Linked DNA regions of Rhinolophus ferrumequinum. The protein of the gene in region 2 interacts with the protein of the main gene of each other region in a biochemical or structural test. Links are inferred from orthologs where the notes say so. Each region holds a gene or a part of one and is shown on either strand. Other genes may lie near its edges. The genes, in order: RHNO1 and HUS1.

Region 1 (15,303 bases), on a different chromosome or scaffold from region 2:
GTCAGTATCTTTCACAAAATGAATAAAGACAGAGAAGTGGTTCTACATTGTCTGGGGACCGAACTGGATCATCTCTCAGATCCTGCCTAATCCTAAACTTTTATTCTATGGAACAGACAAACTTTTATTCTATGGAACAAACTCAGATGAGTTTGTTTCCAGTGTGATTTTATGGGACACAAGGCTTCTCTAGGGAATGTCCTTCGAGTGGGGGTGGAGGAGGTCTTGTGAATGCTTCCATGTCGTTCCCTTTTCTCTCTCCCTCTGGCTTCTTACAAACCCCAGGTTGAGGAGCCCCCGGGAGCATCGCCATCCTGGCAGGACTCTGTGTCTGAGCGGCCCCCGTACTCTTACATGGCCATGATACAATTCGCCATCAACAGCACCGAGAGGAAGCGCATGACCTTGAAAGACATCTACACTTGGATCGAGGACCACTTCCCTTATTTTAAGCACATGGCCAAGCCAGGCTGGAAGGTACTGTGTCCCATAACAACCAAAGTCAAGGCCACTCTGGCCTGACAGTGTGTCTACACAGATGTGCAGCAGTTTGTGTCTGGTGTCCTGAGAGAGAGTTAAGTGCAAATGATGCTGGAACTATAAACAATTATATCTTTTGGATTGTGACTTGATCCTGCTGAATCCAGGCAAAACCATTGATAAGAGCTAGGCAACCACGTGTGTCACTACCTAAGGTTTATGGGGACTTTTCAGTGTAGCACTAAGTTCACTTTTGCTGCACTGAACAGCAGCTGGAGTCACTAAGGCCTTATGAAAAGACCTTTTTAAAAAATGCTGTCTGTGAGCCTCGTGATTTACCTCCTCTGATGTCACATATTATCTCTAGAAAGCAGGGATTCTCTCTTGATTTTGTTCACGGGACACAGATGCCTGGAAGTCATTGCAACTCACACAACAATGTCAGCGCCACAGTTCAGGTCCCCTGACAGATGCTCAACTCCAAGCCAAAGGTTTTTTGTTTGGTTCTTCCCACAGTAGAACTTTTAACTTCACCCTCTCACCTCAACTACATTTCCTAGTTTCTTAATGTTGTTACTGGCCTATCTTGCTATTGACTATTGCTTCACAGTCTCACTCCTCTTTCTCAGTTGGTGTTTCCCTAACACCAACCTAAGGAATGTCCTCAGCCTTAATCCCTGGATAGACGGGTTTATGGCTGAGGTGGGTGACTGTGGCGTGAGGGTCAGGGAGCGAGGTGGACACTCCACTAAGCCTGTGCTGGGTACAGTGAGTGAGGCCTGAGGCTGATTTCCCTACAGGAAACAGCAAAGGTGATGTTTCTGAAGCTAAAGCACCTCCTCATCGGTTGTCTTTCTCTTCTTTCAGAATTCCATTCGACACAACCTTTCTCTGCATGACATGTTTGTTCGAGAGACATCTGCCAATGGCAAGGTCTCCTTTTGGACCATTCACCCCAGTGCCAATCGCTACCTGACTTTGGACCAGGTGTTTAAGGTGAGTGTCCTGGCTTCGTCTGAGTGGGGCCAGAGTTGGAGGTGGTCATATCCATCTCAAAAAGGAAACAAGTTGACTTGTGATGCGCTTAACTGATCAGCGCAGAGTTAGACACCAGCCAGCCCCATAGGTGATTTGCATGTAACTCACAGGATTAAGTACAGTTGACAAATATCAAATAACACACTTTGGTGCTAAACCAGGCCATGGAGAGGATTGCTCTGATCCAAATAGAGGACATCGCGAGGCAGTGTTTCCCTAACTGCTGTGTGGATGTGAAGAACTGCCTGGGATACTTATTAAAATACAGCTTCCCGGGCTCCTGTCTGGGGGCTTCTGATTCAGTGGGTCTGGGATGGGCCCAGAAATATGTATTTTTAACAAGCACCTCAGGTGATTCTTACAGACAAAGTCTGAGAAAACTTGTTTTAAAAAAGCACTTTAGGCTGGAGACCAGAAACCGAGCTAGCATTCAGAAGCAATTGTGTTGGGATTTCAGAGTGCCCATACTCTCCTAGCTGTCACCATTCTCCTGGGAGGGACAGTTGTCCAGGGTGGCCCTCGGCGCCAGTCAGAAATAGGTGTTTTTCCCAATGTGGTCGGCCTGGTTGACCGTGCTGGTGGTAACTTCATCTCATTTCTCTCCCACAATGCCTGACCGCCACCAGCCACTGGACCCAGGGTCTCCACAATCGCCCGAGCACTTGGAATCAGTAAGATTCTTTCCCTCTGGCTCGGGGCTTGGCCTTGTTTTCCTTTCACTGCTCAGCATGGCTTTAGTGGACAGGGACAAGACACTAAGCAGGGGAAGGGAGCCTGTGGCTGGGTGACTGCCAGCCCTGCACTCAGGGCACCCCGAGCTTCTGGGAGTGAGGCACTGTGTGACTACCACCTCGTCTCCCCAGAAGGAGGGCTTGTGCCCACTGCTCCTGCCCCTCACATCACGAAGGCACACTGAGCAGAGCGTGCGTGGCAGGAGGACATGGCACGGGCGTGGTGCGTGTGGCACAGCAACCACAATGCATGGTGGGCCTGGCAGGTGGCAGTGTTTCCTCTGGCTTTCCTTTGCCACAGGAAAGGAAAGCTCCATGCTTTAGCATCCCCTGGGGTGGTGAGGACACATGGATGAGGTGCTGGGACCATCTGCCACCGTGCGTCTGTGTGCTGTCCACCTTTGCCACTATCTAGGCTTTGGTGGCAGTGCTCGCCTGCAACCTCCCAGAGCAGCTTCCATTTCTGGGCTGCCGGTTAGCTCAGTGCACGGTGCCAGAGCAGCCAGTGGGTGCCCCCACCGTCTCCCCGCCTGATTAACTCAGGTTTCTTTCTCTCCCTGTCTGCCACACGCAGCAGCAGAAGCGGCCCAATCCTGAGCTCCGCCGGAACGTGACCATCCGAGCCGACCTCCCCCTGGGCGCACGTTAGTATGGGAGAGTGGACTTCCGGCCTGAGCCTTGCTCTGGGAGCACGGCCGGAAGGGATCGGACTCCGGATGCTGTGCCCAGCTCAGAGGGATCTGATCCCAGAGGGGATGAGAAGGGGTGTGCCCTGGACCTCTGCCCCTCACTGCCCCTATTTCCTCCCAGGGCGGAAGATGAAGCCGCTGCTGCCCCGCGTCAGTTCGTACCTGGTGCCCATCCAGTTCCCGGTGAACCAGCCGCTGGTGCTACAGCCCTCGGTGAAGGTGCCACTGCCCCTGGCAGCTTCCCTCATGAGCTCAGAGCTTGCCCGCCATAGCAAGCGAGTCCGCATTGCCCCTAAGGTGAGTGGCTTCTGATTTCCTCGGAGGAGTAAAAGTGTTGGACCTACACCTGCAACGTACTCTGCTGAATGTTCCTTGAGAAGCTTATACGTCTAGTTGGGCAGACAAGGCACACATACAAAGGAAAACTTAATTATAAAGGCTAAAAAGGAATTTGGATTACAATGTAATGGTACCAGAAGGCCCATAAATACCTGATGAGTTTATAAGAATTCAGACAAGGTGATGATGACAGACGGGCTGGGAGGGTTAAGGAAGAGTTTGCAAGGGAAGTAGGTCTCAGAAAGGAGTAGATTTAGGTAAGCACCCAGGTGTGGAGAGAGCATGGAGGCAGGAGATGCCGGCTTGTGCCCAGTGACGGTGGAGGGCCTGGGTCAGTCTGGCTCCGCGTTTCTCAGCCTCGGCACTGTTGACATTTAGAGCTGGATAAATGTTTGCTGGGGGTGAAGGGCGGCTGCCCTGTGCACGGGAGGATGTTTAATGACATCCCTTGTCTCCTCCCACGAGAGACCAGGAGCACTCCCACCCCGACCTGTGTGACAATCAGAATGCCCCAGACGTGGCCACAGGTCTCCTGGGGGCGGAATCACTCCTCAATGGAGCATCCCTGGTCTAGTTTGAGGGAAAGTGAGGAGATTAAGCCATACTGCGATGGACTACCAAGTCTGAACTTCACCCTCTCGAGAAGGTTTTGAGAGCGGGAGCTGACCTGGAGCAAAGTAGGGAAAAGGGCTCCTGCCCCCTCATGAGATGGACATAGCATGGGCTCTGGAGTTTAGAGAGACTTGGGTTTGCTTTTGTTTTATTTAAAAGATACTTTTAAAATATATATAAAATTATACATATCACTATATGTAATTTTACATATGTGTGTTAATGTGATGGTAGCATGTGTATGGTTTTTGTTTTAATGCAGTCTTTTTCCTCCTCCTTTTTGTCTCCCCGCCATTTCCCCTTCACCCGCACCACCCTCGCTCTCCAAGCTAACCCGTGTTGACAATTTAGAATGCTTTCTTCCATACTTTATCCATGCTCTTAGTATAACAGACATATATAGCCATAGTCATTCTATATATACACACACAACACAGAACATTGAAAATGGGATCATATTACACACTCTGCTTCATGGAAATTCTTCCAAACCACTTGGCATAGCTCTAATTCATTTTTTTTTTCAATTTTTTCCCCCTTTTCTTCTTTTATTGGGGAATATCGGGGAACTGTGTGCCTCTCCAGGGCTCTTCAGCCCCAAGCCAAGTCGCCGTTCTTTCCATCTAGTTGTGGAGGGCGCAGCCGAGCCCCAAGCCCAGTCGCTGTCTTCAATCCTCGTTGCAGGGGGCGCAGCCCACCATCCCATGCAGGAATCGAACCGGCAACCCTGCTGCTGAGAGCTCGTGCTCTAACCAACTGAGCCATCCGGCCGCCCTAATTCATTGTCTTTTAATGGCCACATAATATTCCATGGTGTGGCTATGCCATAATTTTTCCAGCCATTCCACTTTTATGGGCACATTTTGTTTCTAGTTCTTTTGCCTTATGAACAACATTGCAATAAATATCTTTGCAAGTATCTTTCTTACTAATGCTTTCATGTCTCTGGGATAGAGTCGCAGATATGAGATTGCTCAGTGAAGAGGTATTCTAAATTTTACCTAATATTGCTAGATTGCTTTTCCAAAAAAATCTGTGATAATTCACATTTCCACCAGCAGGATATGACAAGACCGGTGTCTTTCTTTGCCAGCAATTGGTGTTATTAATCTTTTTAATATTTGCCTGTCTAATGTGCATAAATGATGTCTCCATGAACTATTTGCTTAGCAGGAAATGGGAGCCCCTCCTCATTATATTTCGTCACTTGGGAGTGTTCACTGTGAATTGTTTATTTATGGACTTTGCCCATTTTTCTACAGGGTTTCGTTAATTGTGGGAGTTCTTTGTTGTTAAAATATTAACCTTGTCTTTTATGTTGAAGATTTTTTTTACTTCTACTGTTTGTTTCTGAACTTTGTTTATGGTATCTCTTGCCACAATAAGATATTAAATTTTTATATGGTCAACTATGTATTTCCTCTCGTTTACAGCTTCTGGGTTTCCAGTCTTGGTTAAGAAGGGTCACCCCTACCCTCAGATTGTACATGTAGTCTCCTAGGTTCTCTTTCAGGATTTGTATGGTTTTAATTTTTCTGTTGTCTTTGTAGATGGTATAAAATAGATATCTAATTTTATTTTATCTCAGATAGATAATGATTATGTCAGCACCCTTGTGGTTGAGAGCCCGCGCTCTAACCAACTGAGCTCAGTGGCAGCCCAGCTCAAGGTGCCGTGTTCAATCTTAGTTGCAGGGGGCGCTGCCCACCATCCCTTGCTGGACTCGAGGAGTTGAACCGGCAACCTTGTGGCTGAGAGCCCACTGGCCCATGTGGGAATCGAACCGGCAGCCTTCGGAGTTAGGAGCACGGAGCTCTAACCACCTGAGCCACCAGGCCGGCCCATCATATATTCTTGTATTTTATACTTTTTAAGATTTTAAAAAGACAAAAAGAGGATCAGTAGCAGCATGTCACTTACTTTAGTCATGATCTTGTGTCCCGCCTGGTGACTGGGTTGAGTCTCGAGGTTTCGACAGCCCCTTTCCACCTTATCCCTGCTTGCCTTTCAGGTGCTGCTGGCTGATGAGGGGGTAGCCCCTCTGCCCACTGCAGGACCAGTGAAAGAGGAGAAACTCCTGCTTGGAGAAGGGCTGTGCCCTCTGCTTCCAGTTCAGTCCATCAAGGAGGAAGACATCCAGCCTGGGGAGGAAATGCCACACTTAGGGCGGCCCATCAAGGTCGAGAGCCCACCCCTGGAAGAGTGGCCCTCGCCATGCCCGTCTGTCAAAGAGGAGCTGTCTCAGTCCTGGGAGGACTCGTCCCACTCTCCCACTCCAAGGCCCAAGAAGTCCTACAGTGGGCTCAAGTCCCCAGCCCGGTGTGTCTCGGAAATGCTCGTGATTAAACGAAGGGAGCGGAGGGAAAGGAGCCGGTCTCGAAGGAAACAGCACCTCCAGCCTCCCTGTGTGGATGAGCCCGAGCTGGTCTTCTCAGAGGGCCCCGGGACTTCGCGCCGAGCCCCAGAGCTCGCTCTCCCCTCAGAGTCCTCTGCGCCTGTCTCCCAGCTTGGCTACTCCCAGGGGGAGGAAGGACCTTTTAAGACACCCATTAAGGAGACGTTGCCCATCTCCTCCACCCCAAGCAAATCTGTCCTCCCCTTGACCCCTGAATCCTGGAGGCTCACACCCCCAGCCAAAATCGGGGGGCTAGATTTCAGCCCAGTACGAACCCCCCAGGGTCCCTTTGGTCCCTTGCATGACTCCCTGGGGCTGACAGATCTCAGTACCACCCCACTGAAAAATATCCCCCTTTTTGATTCACCTCAAGAGCTCCTCAATTCCGAGCCTTTTGACCTCCCCTCTGACCCCTTTAGGAGCTGTTCCCCCTCAGATATGGAGGTCCCCAAGCCAGGCTCCCCTGAGCCACAGGTTGCCAGCCTTTCAGCCAACCGTTCCCTCACAGAAGGTCTGGTTCTGGACACAATGAATGACAGCCTCAGCAAGATCCTGCTGGACATCAGCTTCCCTGGCCTAGAGGAGGACCTGTTGGGCCCTGACAGCGCCAGCTGGGCTCAGCTCATCCCTGAGCTGCGGTAGAGATCTGTCCACTCCCGGGCACTTGTGGGGCTGGGCCTGGGCCGTGCAAGGCCTCTGTGTAAGGACAGCAGGCAGGGCCTGTCCGCTCCTCGAGCCCCACCTTGCCCGGTTATGCCAAGGCAGACGTCACGCCATAGCTGCCACAGGGCCCTCTGCAAGCAGCAAGGCCCTGGTGCCTGGTTTCTGCTGCCCTGTGCTTCCCGCGAGGACCTGATTCCTCCCTATCCCTGCTACAGCTGGACGGTGGGCGTAGCAAAGACAAAGGGGAAACAAGATTAGGAATTCCTCAAACTGTGTGTTCTGTGCCCAGCAGTCCCTTACCTTCCCTGTTCCTTGCAGGGGGGCCCTTGTAAATAGTGTATATTCTCCAAAATTATCCTCTAATTATAAATGTAAGCTTATTTCCTTAGATCATTATCTAGAGACTGCCAGGTGGGTAGGATGACAGCGGTGTCAGTTGGCTTCTGTTCCTTGCTTTTAGTTCCTAGAGAAGGGGGGGACCTGCGGTGCACGGTTTCTTCCAGGCCCGAGGTACCTGCCTCAAGGGTTCTTTACTGTAGGCCCCCAGACAGGTGGATCTGCTTGCCAGGGTCCCTCTTATTGCCCCTCCCACCACCTCATGTTTCCAAGTCAGCTTTCCCACAAGAAGTCCTTGTTATGAGGTCTCTTGTAATAGGTCAAGTTGAATTGGGGGTAGGGGGTGGATGCATCTAAAGCAAAGAGTGGGTGCCCAGATGTGCACCCATGAGATGTTTCTCTGATAATGTCCCTAATCATGCCAGGGAGACTAGCATTGATGAGAACGTGGCCCAAGGTGTGAGAAGGCGGAAAGGGCCCTGACCTGCCTGGCTTCCTTAGCTTGCACTGCAGCTTTGCAAAGAGCTACCCTCGGCCCCAGCTGACCACGTGCCTGGGAGCCAGCTCGAGAACACTACTGTAACCACTACTCAATAAAACCCAGGCTGCAAATGCTGCTCTCTGTGGTGTGTCTGTCTGGCCCCCACGGCATAAGGAGGGGTTGGAAAAGAAAGTGGGTGGTGATAAAGACGGTGGGAATGGAGGAGGCAAGGCCTGAAGCCAACGTGGAGAAGCACCTGAAGGAGAGTGCAAAGGACCTGAGCGTGGATCACCTGTGTCACACCCTGCGCAGGCACACACAGCCTTTCGAACGGGAGCTGGCAGCTTTCCCAGTGCTGGTCCTGCTCAGCCAGTCCCCAGGAAGGGAAAGGCCTACACAGGGGCAGACCTCGGACCGTTAGGGAAGGAAGGAAGGGCCCCCTTCAGGTGCCTCATGACCACCTCCACCCCCTACCCAAGGCCTGGAAGCCAGCCTGCCCTGCTTTCCTTCCCAGGCCAGTCTCCAGAAGCAGCTCCCGTTACCATCTTTTGCAGTCAGAACTTCAGAGTCCCATCTCTTGCCCGTGTCACCTGAAGCAGCCAGGTCCCCAGGGAGTAATGAGCCCTCCTCCCTGTGTCACCACTCAGGAAGCATCACCATAGCAACCCCAGCAGCAAACAATGCTGCCTGTAAGATCTTCCCTACAGAGCTGCCCCTCCCAGCAATCAGGCTCAGAAGAAAATGGCCTGTCACCCACGAAGATCACCCAGAGGGCGGAATACATCCCATGTCAGAGAACCTTTCCGGCAGGTAGGGGCCCAGGCCCCATCCCTGGGGTGGGCCAGGCTTTCTCCAGGGCAGCAGATCTCTAGGCCCATGACCTCTGCTGTCTTCTCTTAGTCCCATAATACTGTGAACATGGAGCTCAGAACAGAGGAGAGGAGATGCCTGGTTATTACATCTGGGGTGGTCACAGAAGTGACAGGGACCTGGCCCACGAAACAGGGGACTTGTGGAATTAGAAAAGTCCTAGGAGTGTACTGGAGGAAGAGGCATCTTTGAAGAAGATGGGTAGTGCAGACAGACAGACGGCCTAGGTCCCAGCTCTGCCACTCACTCCCCTGGCACTTTGGATGAGTTATTTACCCTCATTGTATCTTGCTCTTTGCATCTTTGAGAAGGGGACCATGACAGCACCTGCTCATAGGGCTGTGAGGGTTAAACAAGGTGTGGATGAGTATTTGGCATATTTGCTACCGTTTATTTCATAGGGGTGGGGCCCAGAAAGGGGAGGGACCAACATTTTAAATGCTTTCTATACTTGCTGGTATTTTAATGAGAAGTGAGGGCAACACAGCAATGACAGAGAAATGAGTCACAGGAGGAGTCTAGGATAGAAAAGCACCCAGCCCCCAAGCTCTGTAGAAAGACTTCCCTTCTACACTTGGCTTGGTAAGGCATGTTTTTCCTCAGGATTTCCTCAGGCCTGATGTGTCCTGTTAGGAGCACCCATTCCTGGGCGGGAGTGTGGGCACTTCCTGGGCAGCACAATGGAGAGGATGGGTGAAAGGAAGGAGCGAAGAGGGGAAATTCAAGTTGAGGAAAGAGGGTAGGAAATCAAAGCCCAAACCGGAGAGATGGAAAGAGAACAGGTGAGAAGTCCATGAAGTTCCTGCAGGTAGGGGGAGAATAATACAGAGCAGACATGGTTCCATGCCAGTGTCCTGATGGGAACCCTGTGTCTGGAGGAGACTGGCAGCTTCTTTCCTCTGCGGCTGCTCCTGGAAGAAGAGGCAGAGTGCCGGCAAGCTCCCTTTGTCTCTCCCTAGATGGTCGAGGCCGGTGAGGCCCTACTGGCCTCCCACACGTGGCCTCAGCGTGAGTTCTTCCTCCCGGATGAGCCCTGGGAATGGCCTGGCTTCACCCGGCAAGCCTACCACCAGCTGGCCCTGAAGCTGCCACCCTGCACAGACATGAAGTCCAAGGTACACCACCGACTAATCCACCCGTGGAAGGATACAACGGAGCACACGTGGGGCTTCCACACGTGGCTCGACGTGGGGCGCTTGCCGGCTACCTTCCCCGCCAGGCCCGACAGGCCCTATGACAGTAATGTCTGGCGCAGGCTGACCAACTCCAGGGCTCACTGCCGCCCCCCAACGGAGCCCCCCATTCCCCCTCCCTCCTGGATGGGTCAAAACAGCTTTCTGACCTTCATCTGCAGTAATCCTCCTATCTTCTTGGATGCGAATAGGAAGAGCCAGGTGATGTTCAGGACAGCGAAGGAACTAAGAGAGATGGAGAAACTCAAACTGAGGAGTGAAGCAAGGGCACCTCCACTTGATGCCAATGGCAACATCCTGCCCCCAAAGAACTTCAAGAAGTAAGAGGCACTCCTTCCTCAGGGAGCTCACCCGCCAACCCACATTCAGGTGACCCCTCCCTCTCTCTGCTTCCTGTTGCTGATATCTCACTTGGTACTCTAACTTTCCCACCTCTGGTCATCAAAAACTAAACTCTGTTCTGAATGTAGCTGGAGGGAAGGGATGGAGGCAAGGGAAGGACAGCCAGGAGAGGGGTTCAATTTTTTAACTAAAATTATGGGGATGCGACCATGTACTTAACACCTGCTAGGCTCTGGGGAGACCGAGAAATGCCATGCAGTCCCCGCCCTCAAGGAGCTTACGAAAGGCAGGAACCTACTTATATACATGCGAGGAAAGAAATCTATCAATACAAGCGCACACGTGCTAAGTGCCCAAAGTGTGAGACAGAGGATGGGTCTTGTAATGATGTCCATTATTAATGGAAAAACCTGAAAGCTGGAGTTGGAGGCTAGAATTAAAGTCTAGACTGTGTTCCTTTGGCAAATTGCTTAGCTTTTCCAGACTCAGTTCCATCGTTGATTGTTAATAATTCCATTATCAACAAAATAGGCATGGTAAATACTATGCCTACCTCAGTGGTGAAGATAAAGTTGGTTAATGAATATACGAAAGCTCTAAACAAAAAATAGACATTATTACAGAAATTCAGATGAGGGAGGGAAGAAGGGGTTGCTGTGGGCTGGCACATCCTCCCAGGAAGGCTTCATGAGGAATTGGATGAAGGCTGGAAGGGTAGGAAGCCTTCGGAAAGGCAGAAAGGAGGGGCTGCCTGGTGTGAGCAGAGAGGAATGTGAAAGTTGCTATTTGAGAACCCCACAGCTCTCCCCACCTTGCCCATCGTGGGAACTCACAGATATTGCCATACTGGGTCCTGTCCAGTACGAGTGGCCGGAAAGGAAGAGAGGAATAAGGAATGGAATGTCTCAAATTCCAATCCCAAGGGCATTAACAGAAGCAGTGAGAGGTTGGAGGGGGAGGCGTGGAGATCTGTAATCTTAAAAAAGCAATGCCAATACTTGGTAATTTTGAGAGAAGATTTTTCAGGCCCTTCACTTCCCTCTACTGTCCCTACAATGAAGACTATTTTTTTATTTTTTATTTTTGTATATTTATTTATTTATTTATTTATATTTATTTATTTTTGCATGAAGATTATTGATGGCTAATATGGGCCAACACTAGGCACACAAAGGTGAAGACTTAGAACACTCCTCAAAAAAACTTAGTGAAATGAGAGTGCCAGATGTTGTTCTAATCACTTTAACTATATTATTTAATCCTCCCATTCCCTCGGAATAGAAACTATTATGATCAACCCCATGTTGCAGATGGGGCATCTGAAGCACAGAGAGCTCGACTATCTTGTTCACGTTCACACAGCCTGTGAACGGCAGGGCTAGGATTTGAACCCAGGGAGCTCAGCTCCCGAGCTGCATTCCTACCCACTCTGCTCCACTCCACTCTTGTCTGATTGGGGAATCAGACAAGTTCACAGACACGTCTAGTAGAACAGAATGGTCAGTAAAGGCAGTATAGGAAGATACAATTAGTCATAAAAGGAGCTCAGCACAGTGCCTGGCGTACAGTAATGATGTGTGACGTCAGGAGCAGCGTGGCCTCTGGGGGCAAGCAGGTCCAGGTGGCACTCTACCTAGCTCCATCACAAACCCGCTATACAACCTGAAGTTTCGCAAACTCTTCGAGTCTCACTTTCCTCAAGTATGTATTGGAGCCAGTCCATGCAGGGTTTTTAGAAGAGTCCTAGGGACGGGACCTGGTATACAGAAGGGGCTCTGTAAATCGTGTCATCATTAGTACAGCGTCTCCATGAGAGAAGGAGCCTGGTTTTGCTTATTGCTGCTGTAGGCCTAGCCCCTGGAGCCAGGAATGAAGGCCTGAGTCTCAGACAGGGTTTTGCTATTCACAGAGGAGGAGGTAGTTGAGCTGGCCCTTCAAGGCTGTGTACAAGTTCAGCAGGTGGGAACAAGAAAGAGTGGTGAGAGCAAAGGCCCACCCAGCTCTGTCATTCCTCTTGAGCCGCGCTGCCAGAGGTTATCGTTAATTGTTAAAATGGCTCTAGATCCATGAGAGAGCACATTCTGAGCATGAGAGACCCAGAGAACTTCAGACAAGGTCTAAGCCTCCAGATGCTCGTGATCTGGCTGGGAAATAGAACTTTTACATATAAACCCAGCCGTTCTCAGGTCTGGCGGTACATTGGAGTCACCTGGGCTTCTGGAGGAGCATGCTGAGGTTTGAGCCCCACCTGGGAGATTCTAACTTACCTGACCTGGGGTGGGGGGAGGGGTGGCCTGGGCACTAGTGTTTTTAAAAAGCTGCTGAGGGTGGTTCTTTCGTGCAGCCCGGCCTGAGAAGCTCTGATATAAACCAAAGACAGCAAACGGGGATACCTGTTGAACCAGGGGCAAAGCACGTTGAGCAACAGGAAATTTGCCACTATTCAAATATGGCTTTTAAAATGTCCACTTCCCACTGTTGAACTTAATATGACAGGCCTGTAGAAGACGAAGCCAGTAAACCAGGTGTCGGGAGGCAGCAGGTCAGAGCGGGAAGGGCTCTTGGATGGCGTCACATTCACCAGTGATGAGAAGGAGACTTGCGCTGAGTTCGCGCTCCTGGAGGGATAGTTAGAATCTGGATAATGATGTGACCTATAAATATGTCAAAAGGCTGGAAGATTGACCAGATAAACACAAGTATTCGAGCCTAATGCCAAACACGCACACACAGGGTGCAGGCCATTTGGAACAGAGTCATATGCAATTAGGAAAAGAGACGAAGGGATCCCACACGCGCTATCTCTCACTAGCCTGTGGGAGGCAGCAGCCTGACACTTTCCCATCTCAGCCCCTTCCACCATGCCTGATCTCTCCTTTGACCTCTGTTCTCTCCACACCTCCTCCCCCCAACAGGTACCGACACATCTCAGCTGGTGGGAGGTTTGAACCCCTCGGCCTCCAGCTCCTGCCCAACCCACTTCCCGATGATTCTGCCAGGGGCTGGCCATGCCCGAATCCTCTGCCTCATTATCGGGAGAATGCGCTCAAGTTGGCTTTGCTCCCCAGTGCGCCGCTAGACCAGGACCTCGTGAGAAGCTACCAAACCCTGATAGAGGACCGGGTGCTCTTGCCCCTCCACCATCTCCCCAAAGCACAACCCAGCCAAGACGTAGCGAGGAAGAGAAAGAGAAGAGCTGGACACACCTAGAAAAGCTTCCAGATGGGTGGGGACCATGGTGGGCAGACAGAACCCCATTCTCAACCAATGTGCCGTTAGCAAGAAGCCTTTGGGGTGGCTGAAGGACTCTGGCTTCTGCAGAACACAGCCTGTCCGCCATCCCCCCAACTTCAAGCCACCTCTGTAGCCCGGGCTCCTCACGAATCTACCGAAACCCTAAATTGTTCTCTGTCCTCCTTGGAGGACTCTTTCATAGCAGGTGGGAAGACTGCGGGGCGGGTAGAGCAGAGAGCACAAGGGGGATCCAGTTCCTAGGGCCAGAACGGGGAGTGGGGAGGAAGAACATGTGTGTGTGTGTGTGTGTGTGTGTGTGTGTGTGTGTGTGTGTTAGAGTGGGGGAAGAGGCGCTGTAAGAAATGTGGTAAGAAGTTACCTCTACTCCCATAGCCCATTGAAACAAGACTGGGATTGATCAGGGTACAGAAAGCTTCTTAGGCAAAAATAACCTTGATGCCACCCCTCCCTGGACCATTTGATGTCTGGACAAAGGCTGGAAGCAACTCTGCTGGGCTGCAGGTCCCACACAGGGTTTGGGGGAGCAAAGGCCAGGCCAAGGCTGGTGCTGGAGGATGGAAGAGTCAGGTCTGAGAAAGGCTGACCAGGCCTCCAGAAGAGACAGGAGCAGAACAAAGTAGAGATTTACAATCAAGGTCAGAGTGGTCCCCCCAGCACTTGACCTTCGGGCCTTGGGCCTGTGCTGCCGGAGACCCCAGATGCCTCAGCTTTTACGATGGGGTGCCAGGGACAAGTGGCCTAAAGTGGAGGCAGGCAAAGCACACTGGTCAGAAAGGTGCTGACCCCACCTGGGGTGGGGATTGGGTGGGGGAGGGCCTGCAAGAGGCCCAGTGGCGGTGGCAGGAGGAAGGTGACTGGAGAGGCAGCCTCTTGTCCCCATCATACCCCAAGTTTGTGACCCCAGCTGGGCTTTGCCTGGCCTTCTGCCCACTGCCTTTTTGTCTCCACTTTTCTCGAGCCCTGCAGGCTCCTCGGAATCCAAACAGCACCAGGGTTCTAGCCCTGGTTAACCACTAACCAGCTATGCGACCTTTGGGAAGGTCATCGTTTCCTCAGGCTTTCAGTTTTCTCTCTACACAGTGGGAGCCACTGGGGTATAAATAAAATCATACAAGCGAAGGACCTGCGAAGTGTCTGGCACATTGTAGACCCTCCATAAATGAAGCTATGTACCATTATTCTTAGTATAAAAGTAATAAATGGATGGAAGGAATCCATTTATTCCATCCACAGAAAGGAATGAAGTACTGCTCCATGCTACGATGTGGATGAACCTTGAAAACATCATGCTGAGTGACAGAATCCAGAAAAGGCCACATATTGTATGACTCCATTTATATGAAATGTCTAGAATAGGCAAATCCATAGACACAGAAGGTAAACCAGTAGTTGCCAGATGCTGAGGGAGGGGAGAATGGGGACTGACTGCTTGATGGTATCAGGGTTTTCTTTTGGGGTGATGAAAATATTTTGGAACTAGAACTGGTGGTTGTACAACATCATGAATGAACAGAATGCCACTGAATTATATACTTTAAAATGGTAAATTTGGTGTGAATTTCCTATTTGTAGTTAAAAATAATTATAATAAATAGGGTATGTAGAGTTTCCAAATTTCCTTATAGTTCCAAATCTATAATTCTATTCAACAGCCCTCTTTGCTGCCTCTCTCCATGGTACATGTGTGGGTGGGTGGGGAGCTCGAGAGCCGGCGGGGGGTGAAGGAGAATTTCCTGAGGACCCCAGGAAGTGCCGGGGCTCTGGGAACGTGCCTGTTCTTTCCACTCTGGATTAGGAACAGTGGTAGGAAGGAGGACGTCCCTTTACCTAGGATCCTAACATGTCAGAGCGGGGCTGGCCATTAGAAAACAACCTCAGT
Region 2 (15,358 bases):
CCCGTTAGGCCAGATCACGGTGTCGCCTCGTGTGCGTACGTATATCAAACAGCTAAGACACACACAGCTAATGGGAGGCCTCTCATTCCCAGGCGAAAGAAACGTCCTCTCACCTCTGGGAAAGGGAAGGCCCTCTTTGCCATTCATTAAAACAAACAAAATGAGTGACGGTAACCAAGTCCTCTGGCACAGCTGTAATCAAAGCCTTGCTTACACGGATGTCGCCTTGTCCCACGGGGAGGGGACGCCCCTCTCAGCAATGCTAAGTGCGCCTGTGACAAGCACACCAGGAGCAAGACACTAATTCTCAGAGTGACGAGCCCCGTGTGTCTGGGACACATGCGTGACGACACCGGGGTCTACTTGTCAGCGGGCGCCCCTCAGACCGCCCCTCCGACCACCCCGCCCATGACCCCAGGCGCTCAGTCTCTCCCCTTCACTACTTCCTGAACTGACTCGTGGTCCCTTATCGCCTTGTAGGAGACAAAACATCTGATCACGTGAGGAGTTCCGATTGGCTAATCTAATTTCATAAGCATTAAGGAGGCAAAATAGGTGACAGTAAGAAATGCTCTCTACCTGACTCCATTCCAAGTGACAAACTACAATCTCTAGTAGCAGAAACAGCAGTTTAAGAGCGGGCAGAGCTTGGGATCTCCCAGCTCAGCCAGCCCCAGTTGGCAGACCCTGCGCCCATCCTTCCGCCTCCCAGCGGCAGGCACACTCCTTATGCCCCGGGGCTCACCTTCCCACTCCACAGGCCAGTGGCAGGTGACTAACCTCAGTCATGTCCCCTCCCCAGGCCTGAGTCACAGGCACTGAAACAACCTCTTCAGGTAAGAGACCCCCAGTCATCTGAAACAATGTATCGGGAGCAAACAGAACCCACCAGGAAACTCACCAAATGGAGGGTTGCCCAGATCTTTAAAATGAGTTGTAACACACACTAGCTCAGATTCTATTTTCAAGTTCAGGTCCCCATTTCGGTTTGCTTCAATTATCTGCAAATGGAGCATTTCAGTCTTAAAAAAGAAAAGGAAATGACCTCCAACCCCCAAAAATCACCACAGGCATTGGCTTCCACCAAACCAGGTGACAAGGTAGCCCTACCGACCCCCAGAACACTTCTGATGGCACCAAGACCCACACGGCATCAACTACAGAGAAGACGAGGCCTGAGAACCCCCGCAGGAGAGGAGCCTGGAGAACTCGGCAGAGACCCAAAACAGGCAGTGCTGGGGGCCCGGCCAGGGGACGGGAATCAGAGAGGCCTGCACAGGGTGGGCACCCTGGGTTCTGCGGAGGACGACGACGAGGGGGAGGGGCCAGGAAGCCCAGGAGAGCTGGCCACAGGGAAGGCCGCGTGCCCTACACTTTGACATGACGGAACAGAGAACCCACAGTGCTTAAGCCACAAACCCACCCGAACCACAAACCCACCCGGTCCCCCCACCTGAAAGGAATGAGTGTCCTAAGGGGATTGTGGTCAGACCCCAAACCAAGACATTCTGGAAAGAGGAATAACACTGGCCAAACAGCACTCAGGGGCCTGGGGGTGCTGCGCGAAGCAGACGCAGAGAGGGAGGGACTTTTGTTCCAGGAAGAGCTGGAAGAAACTGAGGACAGTGAAGCTACGAAAGGAGAGCACAGGTCAGAATCAGGGACGCCCCGACATGTCGTGCCCAGACCGCTTGCAGATGTACAAAGAGAGCTGCCAGGACTCAGGAAGTAACTGGAAATATAAGGGCAAATATCGGAAATGGAAAGTAAACAGGCAAGAAACCAGGAGAACGTGGGCACACAGACAGCGCAGGAAGAGAAGACGAGGCAGAAAGTCAGAAAATACAAATTACCGAACAGAAACGGAGGTAGAGGGGATCTGGACAGCAGGTGAGTGGGGAGCCCCGAGGCCGGCAGGAGGATCATGCTCACCAGACACCTCCCAGTGGAGAGGCCGCACACCCGGACTTCAGAGAAAGCAGGGAACTGCCGGGACCTAGCCACGCCCCCGCCCCACGAGGAAGTCCCAGCCACTCCCACAGGAGGCGGAGCCAGAATCCTGCCCACAGCACGTCAGGGTGAAGATGTGCGCACAAGGGCCTCACACCCTGCACACCGCGCTTGTTTCTGCTGCTCCCACCCCACTCACACAGCCCCTCCACGAGGCCACGGCTCCCATAAAGGAAGGGAGAGAGGGTGGAGCCTCAGCATGCCGCTTCAGCTCCCCTCGGGACAGGAGGTGTTTTTCATGTACTGAGTCGCACTCAGCGGCCTTATGTCCCCTGCCTGTCACCTTAAGACACAGAACCTGTCACCCGGGTAGATGTCCTCGGGCCCTTGGTTCTACTTCCCACACGTGACAACTTTCCATGTAGGAGGGCAGATGGCAGCAGGCACGCCACAACACTTTTGTTTGTTTTTAAATACTCCGGAGAAAAACACTTCTTCTGATGATTTTCTCTACCCAGGCTACTGGGCCAACTCATTGCCCTTGGACAGAAAGAACAAAACAATGGGGTCCGCAGATGAATTGACCGGCCTGGCCTTTTCTCTCCTGGGCCTCTTCGAAGCTCTCTGAGGTCCCCAGGGCATCCCGCCCTGGCAGTGGAAGCTTCCCACCTGACATCTGGGTCAACAATGGTGCACTGACGGGAGCACCCCAAGCGCAGCACAGCTCACACTGCAGCAGCGGAAGCTGACTGCAAGTTCAAATGACATCTAGGAGATTAAGCCAAGAAACACAATCACTCTTATGTGACCACCATCACAGGTATGAACGGCCCACAAACATTTCCTAGGCTTCAGAAAACCTTTGCAATTCCAAAGATCGCTTGAAGGTACATTTCATTCCAGGTCCATGCGACAACACTTATTAACCGCCCGCTGGGTGACAGTCCCACAGTGGTGGCCGGGACACAAAGATGGTTGAGATAGCGTTTCCCTTTCCGATGCTGGCAGGTCACTTAGCATAGAGCACTGAGCACAGAGTTACAGCGAATGGCGAGAGGCTAACGTGGGGGGACGTGGGAGAAAACACAGCGAGTGTGAAATGGCCGAGACAGAGCCTGGAAAGAGCCGGCAGTGTGGGGAAGGACAAGAGTCGAGGGAGGTTTTGCAGGGATGGTGTGGCCACATGACAGGGGACGAGGCCGGGCAGATGAAGATCAAAAGTGGACACTTCGTCAGGCTGATGGAGGTTTTTAGAAGATTCGGGACATAATCAAATGTTTGGGGTCAAGCAAAGGAAGAATTCAGAGAATCCCAGGGGTGACTGGGGACCATCCACACCCTTCCCCATCACTGTCACATGCTGTAGCATTTTGTGACACTGTAGTGGACCAACCGCCACATAAGCAAACAGCAAAGGAAATACATCCATGTACTTGGCAAACAGCTGATGAGGGGGCGACAGCGTGTGCTGGGGGGCTCCGAGCTGAGACCGCCACTAAGTAGACAGGACACTTCCATCACTGCCAGTGTCGGTGATTCATAAAACACATACACACAACAGACAAGCTGGGAGGTTTTGTCCAAAACACAAGTGAAGGAAGCCAGAACTGTTGGCTATGTTGTTAATAGGCTATAAATACAAGTGTGATGGACCAGGGCAAATATAAAAGCCTCCCCCGTGAGAGAGAGGAAAGCACCAGCACAGGTTTCCTGGACTCCGTGAAACCGCAGCTCTCAAGAACAGGCCGGTGAGGGCGCCCGCCGCACCGGGCCTCAGGGTACCCACAGGGCCCCCACACCTGTGGCAGGCATGCCGCCTGAACCCAATACTCCGGGCTCCTTTCCGAGGAAGTTGTAACTTACAAGGTGGTTGCTGATGTTTTTCATTCTTTCCACCACGCTCTTCATAGTCTTCAGGACTGGCAAATAAATACTAACCTACGAAAGCAATGAGAAAACTCAGGAGAATTAAAGATGTGAGTACAGTCAAGTGCTGACAGGTGCAACCTACTGCCTACGTTTGCCACGCATGCATGCTTAGCAGCTCTGGAATCTGGAGTTTTACACTGTCCTTTTAAAATATGAAACAAAAACAATTTTATTTCCCTAACTCACGCCTGCCTCTGTGGTTACCTTGGCGACCACACACCTGTGGGCACTCTGGCTCCACAGACTGCAGCCCTTCGGCCAGAGGCCTTATGTTACCCAAGGGGAATAAGACTCTGAGGGACACACCCTCAGACAGGCCTTCTTACCCCGGAAAAGGACCATGAGGAAGTCCCTGCACCAGCGCTCAGACCAGGTCACCAACAGTGCTTGATACAATGCTGGCTTTTCCCAGGTGGTGCGGATATCCTCCAGTAAAATTCCTTTTCCACGGTCTCTTCTCCAATAAATCGTATGCAAGAAGCAACAGACTTGTGGGCCTCATCTTTATTTCCCGCTGCCCAGGGATTCCTGCCAGGACTGGGGTAGCCTCTGCCCTTGGCTCTTACGCACACCCAGGCATCACTCCTTACAGGATGAGGTAAAATCACGTTCTGAGACCCAAACAGGCGCCTAAGCCATCACTCCCGACAGAAACCAGTCCCCCACAGTGCTCCCTCCGTGTAGTCTAGTTTTATTTAAGCGCCACTGCTGAGCAAGACATTGTCTCCCACCTGTGGCGTGTGGCTTTACTGCTACACGCTGCCCTGTTTTAAGATCTTTATGTAAACAGCAAAAGGCAAATACTCCATTTTTTTTCGTGGAGTATCCTTTAAAAATGAGCGTCACTCACATCACAGTCTGGGACTGTCGGTTCCTGTAAATCCTTCCACAGTTTCCTAGGAATGACCTTTATGGGGATATCGTGGGTTACAATGCGACTACTGCTCGACACAGATAACTGCCAAGAGAAGAATCACACAGTATTTTTATAACGTCAATATTAAAAAAAACCAAAACAAAAAAAGAACTAAGGGACAAAAATAAAAAAGCTAACATACCACATCTAAGTGGAATGTTCCATTCATCAAAACCTGTTCAACAGATACTCAGGGTGTGCGTGGTCTGCTCTGGGTTAGGAGCTGGGACGTGTGCTGAACAAGCAATGTCATTAAGTAGGAGGAGAAACTGAGTCCAGGGGAAAACACTCAGGTGCCAGAAAACCAGTTAACGTTCAACCGCCAGCCAGTGCAGCTCCTTCTGGGAAGTTTCAGAATCGCTCCCCTCCTACTCACCAGCTCTATGGAGACGGTGAGGCAGGGAAAGTGTTTATTAGTCAGCTTGATTTTCAAGGCTCTGGCATTCTGGGCAGTTTTCAAGGCTCGAGACAGATTCTCTGATGTCAGCTCTAAATAAATCGCATTGTTTTCTGCTGACACACCTTCCATTTGAAATTCGTTGAAGAAGTTCTCCTAAGGGAAGACAAGGAGGGACACCTGTGCCCTCTCCGACGGCACCGGGCAGCGTGTGACGCCTCGCAGGAGCCTCTGCTCACCTGTTCCAGCTCACACCACATGCTCACCCCTCCACTGGCCACCTTGTCGGAGAGGATGAAGTTCAGGTGACGCGGGCTGATGCGCAGAGTGCAGGTTTTGGCCAGCTTGGCTATCATGTTGCTGACTCCTGTAGCAGGGGGTGAAGGGAAGGAATTCCTGGCAAGCACACCACGAACCCGAGCTCAACACGGCGCCACCTCCAGGCGGACACACGGCCGTTCGTCGTGGGACCCCACCGGAAAGCAGCTTAGCACCGAGAAGTCCGGCAGCCTCCCCACACCCCGCCACTCGCGCGGCGCACGTCAGGCTGCAACGAGGCGCCGGCGCTCGCAGGGCGCATCCACGCCGGCAGCACACTGGGCCACGGGGTCTGCGCCACGTAAGGCTGCCTCCCGCGGCCCGCCGCCGGCCCACGAGGGAACGCCAGGCGCCGGCACGCGGGTTTTAGAAACAACCCGGGCACCCGCTGCCCCGCCCACAGACGCGCGTCCCGCGCGCTGCCCGCGCCCTCCTCGCCCGAGGCCCGCCGCGCGCAGCCTCCTTCCGGCGCGCCCTCCCCTCTGGGCTCCTCCCCACACCGCCCGGGCGGGCGCGGCCCCGCTCACGCGTGAAGTGGTTCAGACAGGCCGCGTCCACGATTTTGGCCCGAAACTTCATGCCGGAACGCGGGCCCGCGCGGGGGACCCGTCACCCGCGGACCCCGGTGTCGCCCTCGGCGTCCCTCCGGAAACGCCGCCGCGCGCCCAGAGGTTCCGCCCGGCTCGGCCCGGCCTCCGTGAGCCGCGTCACGCCCCCCGGCGGGGAGGCGGGCCCCGTGTGACGCTGTGGGTCACGTACGCGGGGAGGCGGGGTTCGGTAACGCCCCCGGCCGAGCAGGCGGCTGCTTTCGGCGACGCGCCAGTCCTCCCCGCCCCCAGGTAGGAGGAGTGGTTCCGGGGACTCACGTTTTGGAAGAACGTTGTGACACCTGTTGCCAATTCTGTTAAAACGTCAGAACTAAAACCAATCGCTTATTTATCAAAGGCAATTAAAATGATCGCTTAGATATCTGCCGCTCGGATGTAGGTCACTTTCGAACCCCTTCCAGGCCCAGACGCTAGTGCTGGCTCCCGCTCGCCGGGGCCCGTAGCACCACGTTGGATCACGGTTTTAAAATTGTGGTAAAAGCGGGATCATGTTTAGAGAACATTGACGTTAAGTGGTAACTGCAACTTTGTCTCCTGATGAACTTCACCAGATCCTGTGAAAGTCCTTAAAGCATAAATGATGTAATGATGTTACACGATTAAAAAAAAAAAAGGAACAAAAACTGTATCCAGCTTGGTGTTTCGGAGTTCATTATGTTTGCTTATTGTGCAAGGAAGTGCCCTCATCCCGTCCCCCAGGTGGCAGCACGGTGGCAGTGAAGCACAGCCGACGGCAGGCGGGGTGTGCAGTGGGAAGCCGGGGAGCCCGTCCTCACCGCCGCAGGCGCTGCGCGCTCCACCCAGGTAAGGACTGTGCGCCTTCCCGGGCGGCCCGAAGCGTCTGCCCAGCGTGTGCCCCGTGCTTGTTCGTCCTCCCCATCCCTCGGGGGCCCATTTGCAGTCCTGTTGTGAGCACTTAATGTTGAAAAAGTTGCTCACTGGGAAGACACTGGCATAGCTCAGAGGTTCAGGTTGGATTTGTCTTCTTTTTCTTTTACGTGAGAAAACTGTGAAATGACGGACAGCACACTGTGCGGCACGAGTGAATGAATGTCTTTTGAGAAATGCGCTCCATGAAGGGATGGGTTTTGCTTAAGCGGCTCTTCAAAGACTCTTCTCGTGTTTTAGACGTTAAAGGAAAACTACTTCAATAAATGTCATAAATATCCTTTAAATTAACATTTGTGGCGCCCATGAGAAGTGTCAGGCACTGGGCACTGGATGCTGGGCCCTGGGGCTCTGAGAAAGGACGTACCCACCACCTGGGAGGGAAACCCACGTTTTTGGCCGCCCACCGTGTTTCACTTCCAAGGCACTGTTGAATGGTACCCATCCATAGGGTGGGGTCAATCACTACCCTTTTTATAGCACTTGACACTGATTGGTGTCACCTTGGTAACAAGCACCCATAGGTGAGTGCTATTCGCCATTTTAAAGATGGCGGATAGAACTGAAATGTTGGCCTTGCTGCGCGCGCGCCCCACACGCCCCGGGTGAGAATCTGCCTCTCGGCCTTGTGAGTGCACAGTGAGGGGAGAGGGCCTGGAAGTGGGGTTAAGAACCGACCGTGATGAAGCCTCCATAAAGATCCCAAAAGTAGGGGGTTCAGAAGCTTCTGGGTTGGTGAACACGTTTGTGTGCCAGGAGGGTAGGGGGCCCCCTCTTCACGGGGAAGGAAGAGCCTCTGCATTGGCCTGCCTGGACCTGGCCGTATGTATCTCTTCACCTGGCTGCTCATCTCTATCCTTTGTCATACCCTTTGTTACATAGCAAAATGGTAAATTTAAATGTTTTCCTGAATTCTGTGAGCTGTTCTAGCAAATAATTGAATCTATGGCAGGGTAATCATGGAAAGCCAAGTTGGACAGAAGTTGTGGGTAACCTGGGGATCTACTATTTGGCATCTGAAATAGAGAGCGGTCTCGTGGGACTGAGCCCGACGCTCTTGAGCTCACTCCGGTTGTGTCAGAATTGTAGGATGCCCGGCTGGTACCACTGAATTGCCTGGTGTGAGAAAGAAAAAACAAACACAAAAACCCCACACAATCTGGTGTCAGAATTGTTGTGAGTGTGTTTGTTGTGTGAGAGTAAAGGAGAAACACAAGTGAGTTTTTCCTCTACAACCATTACGTAAGAAAACGAGAGACCATGTTTTATGCTAAACATTTTTTAATTAAAAAATGGTATAGGTAAGGAATAGGTAATATTTTCACGTGATTTGAAAACAAAACATTATACAGTAGACCATTTTGCTTCCACCTATGTGGGTGTCTCTTCTGCCCCATTCCCATTTTATTTACTCTCTCCTCCTGGTGAACATTGCTGATTAACGTGTTATATATGTATGTTGCACGTGACTCCTTGAGTCAAAAGGTATGTGCCTTCCTAATTCTGAGAGACATTGCCAGGTTCCCTCCACAATGGTTTTCTCTGTTTGCATTTTCACCATCAATGTGTGAGAGAGTCTATTTCCTCAAAGCCTTACCAATGAAATGTTATCAAACTTTTCTTAATTTCATTGGTGAAACATGGTACCTACCGTGTAACTTTTGACATTTTTCTTAAAATAAATAAGCTCGAATACCTTTTCATATGTTCCTAAGAAAAATCTCTTTGTGCTGTCCAGCCGTTTTTCTATGCAGCTATTGATAGTATTGCTTTCTCGAGACTCTTTACATATGGAAAAGATTGGTCCTCATGATATCAATGACAAATATATTTTTCTGTTTTGTTTAAGGTTTTGTTGGCCATGTAGAGGTTTTTTCAATTTTATGTAAGTGTGAGTCTTGTTTAGAAAAGGTCTTCCTCTATCCAATGCCATACAAGACTTAGCCCAAGTTTTCTTGGTTTATTTTTATGGTTTCATTACCTACCTATAAATAATCACCATATTGGAAATTCGTCATGTTGCAAAGTGAGAAATAATAGGTGCAATTTTCTTTTCTTAATGACAGAGTAATTGTCCCAAACCATTCCTTTTTCCTGTCTGCTTTTAAGATGCCACCGTTATCGTATTCTAAATTCCTACATAGATATAAATCTATTTCTGATATATCAGAAACAGACTTGTTTTGTCTGTTCCATTGGTTTATCAATGTTCTAGCACCACACAATTTTAATTATTGTTTTAATCAACATCATACAGTTCTTTGTCTTTTTTTTTTCATCCAGAGGTTTCCTGGCTTCCTACTAAGTTTATATTTCCAAATGAACTTTAGAATCAATTTGGCTTAAAACACAACACTTCTAGTTACTTATATATGTTTTAATCTTTTTAAAACTTTCTAAAATTGAAAATATCAAACATATGTAAATGAATGCAGAATAGTAGACATGAAGCCCCGTGGACCAGCACACAACTTCGATGATCATTGCATGGCCAGTCTTCTCTATGGATCCTCCCATACATTTCCTCCTCTTATTATTTTGAAACATATCTCAGATATATCATTTCATCTGTAAATATTTAAATATATAAATCTAAACAAGAATAATTCTTTTTTAGTAACAACATCGAAATACTATTATCACACAGGCACTGAAATATCCTTAATTTCCCATAATTGTCTCAGAAATACCTTTTTTCTGGGTGTTAATTGAGATTAAAGTGAATTTATAGATTAATTTAGTGAACACTGACATCTTGATAGCTGAGTTTTCGTATCCACAGGAAAGGTGTGTCTTTCCATCATTGAAGTCTTCTTATCATCCACTGCTGTTTGGAGTGTTTTCAAACAGGTAGTTTAATTGTTTCGTTTATCTGATTCGTTTTCATCTTTGTTGTGGCTTTTGTAAATTATATCCTCCAACTGGTTGTTTGTATTTATACATAATGTTGATTTATATGTGGTAATTTTCTTTCCACTAACTTACTGCAGTTTTTCCTGTGTGTGGTGTATTTTTTGATTGACTTTATTGCATTTGAAGGAATTCATCAGATCATCTGCAAATAGTCATGGTCAGACATCCTCACTCCTTTTAAACTCTGATTTCTTTCACTTATCTAACCAAATTGACCAGTGTGTCCAGATATGTGTTAAGTAACAGTGGTAACAGGCCATCCACGCCTGGTGTGGATGAACAAATTAAGGAAGGCAGAGGTGTTCCTATGAGAAAGACTGTTGAGTAATACCACCTTCGAGACAGATTTACTTGTCAGGGCTCCAGCGACATTCATCCCCAAAGCAAAGCTACCAGAAGGAGACTGAATCACTTTTACACTTTTACTAGTAAAATTCATCCACTTTGAGGTTTCCCTCCCACTGCCGATTTCCACCCCTCTGAGTGTAGTGAAGCGAAGGGGCAGGGACACTTGGCTGTCCTAACCCCCTGGCCGTCACCTTCTGCACCAGCTCTTCTAGGTGTGGTCTCCCGGGGTGCCGTGCACCCTGAATCTATATAAACAAGTGTACTTCGTGTGTCCCCAGTTGCTGAGGATTTTAAGTTTCACACATAATAAGGATTCAGAAACTTCATGCTGAAAATAAAGAAAAAATAAAATTAATGCCTTATCAAGAAATCCATCTCAAAGAATCCCGAGGAAGGCTGACGTAATGGGAAATTCAAACTCTTTCCTTCCTCCCTTCCTAACACAAGGGTATCCAAACATCACTCTAGTGGACGAGAAAATGAGCCACCGTAAGTAAAGAGCTCCTAAGAAGACAAGTTCCGGGGAAGGAAGAGCGTATGGCAGCCTGGACACCAGGTGCTCTCACTTCCTCTCAGATGCCCCCACAGTGCTCCTACATGGCCGTCCCATGAGGGAGTGAGTGACACGGCCGTACAGTCACATAGGAAACTCCTCAGGCACATTCAGTTCTAACACATTGTTTTCAGCCTAGATTTTCTCACCATGGGCCAAGTAGTGTCATCAAACACTTGCTTTTACATGATATGAGACGCCTTCTGTATTTCTTCATTACTTCCTGTGGCTAATGAGAGACAGTGAAGATATATTTCATGCACCTTAATGACTTTCGGGGGCCTTGTATGCTAACAGTTGGTGCTTTTTCCCCTTTGAGTTAAGGAGAGAAGTTTTGCCTGTATCGTCTGGTGTTAAGTATTTGTTTTCTCTTCCCCTGACTTCCTCTCTGCCTCTAACCATCTCATACTGCACCACCGCCCTCATAAGAAAGTTGAGACAGTGACTGTCTAACCTAACAGTGCAAGGGAACCAGACTGGTAAGAGAAGGACTGAGAAGGTGAATACAGTTTTTAAAAAGTGATAGCAAACGAGGAAGAATTAGGCTTAGAAGCCACTTCGGTATTTGCCTGTCTTTTGCATTAAAATGCACATAAGCACTGGGAGCTCAGAACTGAAGCTCAGAAAAGCCTCGTTTAGCTTATGCTCCTGTCACGGTTATTCTCACACACCACTTCCGGCACGCAACCCCAACACACCCCTCCCAGGAGCGGAGCCCGCATCCCCTAGCCAGGGCTCATTACCTGGAGCTCAAAGGTTTGAACCGTGGTTCCTGTTTTGTTATATAAAAACTGACCTAGGAAAACCTCTTCTCCTCCACATTGTTTCAAGCTGCCCTATAAAAAAAAGTAACAGACATGTAGATCATCAGGAACGGATGCTCGGTTAACATAAATGGAGGCAGATGTGTATGCAAGGAGCAACAGTTCTCCAGACGTCTTTGGGGTCCGCCACGGGCGCAGTGCTGGCCCAGGTGCCAGTGCTGCCCTATATACCCCAAAGGTGTTGAACTTTGCAGTTTGCAAGGCAAGAGGCAGGCTGATCACAGGGCTCACTAGACAGGTAGGAAGAAGGTAGTTAGATAGATACATAGACAGATAAATACCTGAAATGTAGATGAAGGGTGCTCGGAGGGTGGCGGGGTGGGTGGGTGGATGGAGATAGATAGATAGATAGAACAAACCTCAGGCCTACTAACTGTATCTGCAGTCAGAAGACTTTGAATAAACTAAAACAAAAGTCCCTATGTTGACCCAGTGTTTTCCAAAATAAGATAAACTTAATCCAATTTCCAGACTGATCATACAAATAGCTCTATCCAAAAAGTATTTGCTGACTGAAAGAAAATATTGATATTTGTATGTAGTTTCATTTATTTATTTATTTATTTTACCTTCCTTCTCTACCTTTCAAAACCAAGGTTTTTGAGAGGAAAATACACTGGTGGGAATTAACTTATTTGTGACTATCTAAAGTTTATCTTTAGGTTCCTTAAATCATAGTAGCACAACAAAATAAAGAGTTCATTAATTAAATTGTTTTATAATGAACATATTGATATTTAAACTATTTGTAACATAGTTTTATTAAAAGAATACATCATGATTAAACAACGCACCCGCGATTACAGATATAAAAAACCCAAGCCTCATGTGGTTCCTTTAGTAGGGTAAGGAGGAGTGCTCATTTTATCTCCACCTTCTTTATTACCCTGTTTTAACTTTACTTGGTTCATAAATTTGCTAATATAAGAGAAAAACAATGAGAAGTAGTTTTGATTACTGAAGGATTCACCCATAATTCCTCGGTAATGAGCAACTGTGTGCACCTGTCTGAGGTGGGGTATGACCTGCTCAGATTCAGCCCAACTCAACTGTCGGGCTCAGCAGACAACTATCGTGGGTGGCAGCAGGCTTGCACCAAAGGATGGTGGTCATCTTTCTGTTCTGCAGCCCAGAGTCACGGCCTTCAGAGGCATTTGATGAAACACAGGCAAGCCGCCACGTTTAACTCTGAGCCCTCCCTCAGACAGGATACCAGGAGACTGAAGGCAAGACTAAACCTACAAGGAAGGCATGGGAGCAGACACCAGACACAAAGCCTGGACATGGCCAAAGGGCCAGTGGGGTAGTGCCCTGGAGAAAACACAGACTTCCCTGGCTGTGGAAACACGCTGACACGGATGTACACTGCAAGTCCCAGAAAGCTCCACAGGCGGGACATGGGGCTGTAGGGGCCCCAGCAGACAGGGAGCTGAAGCAGTTAGCCCCCAGCCCCTGACCGGTAATCATCCCGGCCTGGCCCAGCACTAACTGCCTTCATCCTCCCAGTTCTGGGACAGCTGGGCTCAGGAGACCTGCACATGTCAGAGGTGAGGGCATAGCCTGTGTGCTGAGGGCATACCATGCTCCTCTTCTCTCAGCAGCCCCAGCATGTGGTCGCCAAGCTGAAACCTGGGCACAGCTTGTAGAATTCCTCCCAGGGTCAACCTGCCCAATCCCACACTCTGGAGTCTCCAGAAAAAATGGCCCAACTAGACCACTGCCTGTGAAGACCTCGGTCCACCCACCCCACCAGGTGTGCAAAGCTTTCACTGGCTTTTTACTGTTTAGCTCTTAAACATGACACACAAACATCACCAGACATGTGAGAAAAGCACATAACGAGAAGGGCAGAGACCCCGTCAACAGGGGAGGGAGCAGAAAAAAACGAAACAAAACTATAATATCTCTGGAGACTTAAGAGAAAACATTGCATCCACAGAAGAAGAAATTTAGACTTTAAAAGACTATTGGGCCGGCCCGGTGGCTCAGGTGGTTGTAGCTCCGTGCTCCTAACTCCAAAGACTGCTGGTTCGATTCCCACATGGGCCAGTGGGTTCTCAACCACTAGGCTGCCGGTTCGATTCCTTGACTTCCCCAAGGGATGGTGGGCAGCGCCCGCTGCAACTAACAACGGCAACTGGACCTGGAGCTGAACGTCACCCTCCACAACTAAGATTGAAAGGACAATAACTTGACTTGGGAAAAGTCCTGGAAGTACACACTGTAACCCCAATAAAGTCCTGTTCCCCTTCCCCAATAAAATATTTAAAAAAAAAGACTATTTATAGGAAAAAGTCTTAGAAGAATCGTGACAGCAGAAATGAAAAATCCAACATAGAAGTTAAAAGAAATTCATAATATCTTTCAGAAGATAGGACAGAAAAGGAAAATAAGAGAGGAGATTTTTTAAATAACAGATTAAACAATCAGTAATCAGTTGAACCTTTGGGGTGTGGAAATGAAACCCCTGAGAGCAGCTGTACATAACTGGCAACAAGTCAGATTGGAGCAAACGGGCAGACAATCCAGAGGCTGTCCCAAAAGAAACATGAAAAAAGAAGTTTATAAGTTATCTGACATAAGTGGGAAGATGTTTACACTTCTGAAGAAGACATTAGGAGGAGGCCATTACTATCCTCAGGAACATCTAAAATTGTACACGAAGCAAATACCATTGGAGTACACTGTAGGGCTCAACTGAGGGCAGACTATTCCCCACAGTCACAGTGAACACAGAAATGCCGATTGAAACCAACAGTAAGATATACCATCTAGCCATGCCCCAAACATGAAACCCATTTTCCATGTGATCTAGCCCTTCTATTCCTGAGTGTAGACCCAGAGAAATGAAAATCAATGTCCACACAGAAACTTGTGCACAAATGTTCACAGCAGTGTTGTTCACAACGGCCAAAAACGTGGAAAAAACTCAAAGGTCCATCAACTGATGTACGGATAAATAAAATGTGGTCCATCCATACAATGGACTATTAGTCAGCAATTTTCAAAGAGAACATACTTATGTTCTAACATAGATGAACCTTGAAAACATTATGCTAAGTGAAGAAGCCCTTCACAAAAGGCCATGTGTGATTCCATTTATATGAAGTGTCCAGAATAGGCCCATGTGGAGAGACCAAGTAGTCAGTGGCTGCCTGAGGCCGGGGGCGTGAGCTGGACGGTGGGCAGCGGCAGCTAAGAGGGATAAAAATGTCCTAAAACCGACTATGGGATGAATACACAGCTCTGCGAATATACTAAAAGCCACTTACGTATCCATGTAAATGGATGAATTGCATGGTGTCTGAATTATATCGCAATAAAAAAGTAAAACACAACATATTGGTAAGATGAGAGCGCCACGGAAGGGAACTAATCTTCATTTTCCACCCGAGAATGTCAGTAGATGATAACCAAAACTGAAAAGTTAAGAATTAGGAAAAGCAAATATGCAGGGAAGAACCCAAATAAATAGCCAAAACTTTTGCAAGTGGAAGCTTCCGGGGAGAAAAAATTGGGGGGGTGGGAGTAGTAGGACAAGGAAAAACCGTGTTTCATTCTAAACGTATGGACATGTTTAGAGTTTTTAATTGTACATGTCTGACTTCGATTAAAAAAAGTAAAGTTAAGTAGTAGAAATCATCAGGTTCAACCCTGTCAATTTGTAGATGACAAAGCAGAGTCCAAGGGATAAGTGACCTCACTGTGGTATAG

The links.
Region 1: the proteins of HUS1 (region 2) and RHNO1 form a complex in vitro, tested with the Homo sapiens proteins (2 studies listed by BioGRID). The link is inferred for Rhinolophus ferrumequinum from reciprocal best matches to the Homo sapiens genes HUS1 and RHNO1.

The regions. Positions count from the first base shown.
Region 1 is NC_046293.1:87,882,822-87,898,124, forward strand, and holds the start of RHNO1 (RAD9, HUS1, RAD1-interacting nuclear orphan protein 1), read right to left. Parts: upstream 5,887-15,303; 5' UTR 5,810-5,886; intron 3,236-5,809; coding exon of another isoform or gene 3,060-3,235; intron 2,894-3,059; coding exon of another isoform or gene 2,824-2,893; intron 2,190-2,823; coding exon of another isoform or gene 2,145-2,189; intron 1,477-2,144; coding exon of another isoform or gene 1,348-1,476; intron 478-1,347; coding exon of another isoform or gene 286-477; intron 1-285. Other genes in the region: FOXM1 (forkhead box protein M1), read left to right, coding at 286-477, 1,348-1,476, 2,145-2,189, 2,824-2,893, 3,060-3,235, 5,901-6,926; TEX52 (testis-expressed protein 52), read left to right, coding at 8,506-8,574, 9,594-10,147, 13,085-13,379. UniProt on the Homo sapiens protein: Involved in microhomology-mediated end-joining (MMEJ) DNA repair by promoting recruitment of polymerase theta (POLQ) to DNA damage sites during mitosis.
Region 2 is NC_046303.1:1,212,496-1,227,853, forward strand, and holds the start of HUS1 (checkpoint protein HUS1), read right to left. Parts: upstream 6,336-15,358; 5' UTR 6,090-6,335; coding exon 6,038-6,089; intron 5,560-6,037; coding exon 5,432-5,559; intron 5,349-5,431; coding exon 5,172-5,348; intron 4,838-5,171; coding exon 4,730-4,837; intron 3,889-4,729; coding exon 3,814-3,888; intron 1,002-3,813; coding exon 902-1,001; intron 1-901. Other genes in the region: SUN3 (SUN domain-containing protein 3), read right to left, coding at 10,476-10,595, 11,564-11,656. UniProt on the Homo sapiens protein: Component of the 9-1-1 cell-cycle checkpoint response complex that plays a major role in DNA repair. The 9-1-1 complex is recruited to DNA lesion upon damage by the RAD17-replication factor C (RFC) clamp loader complex.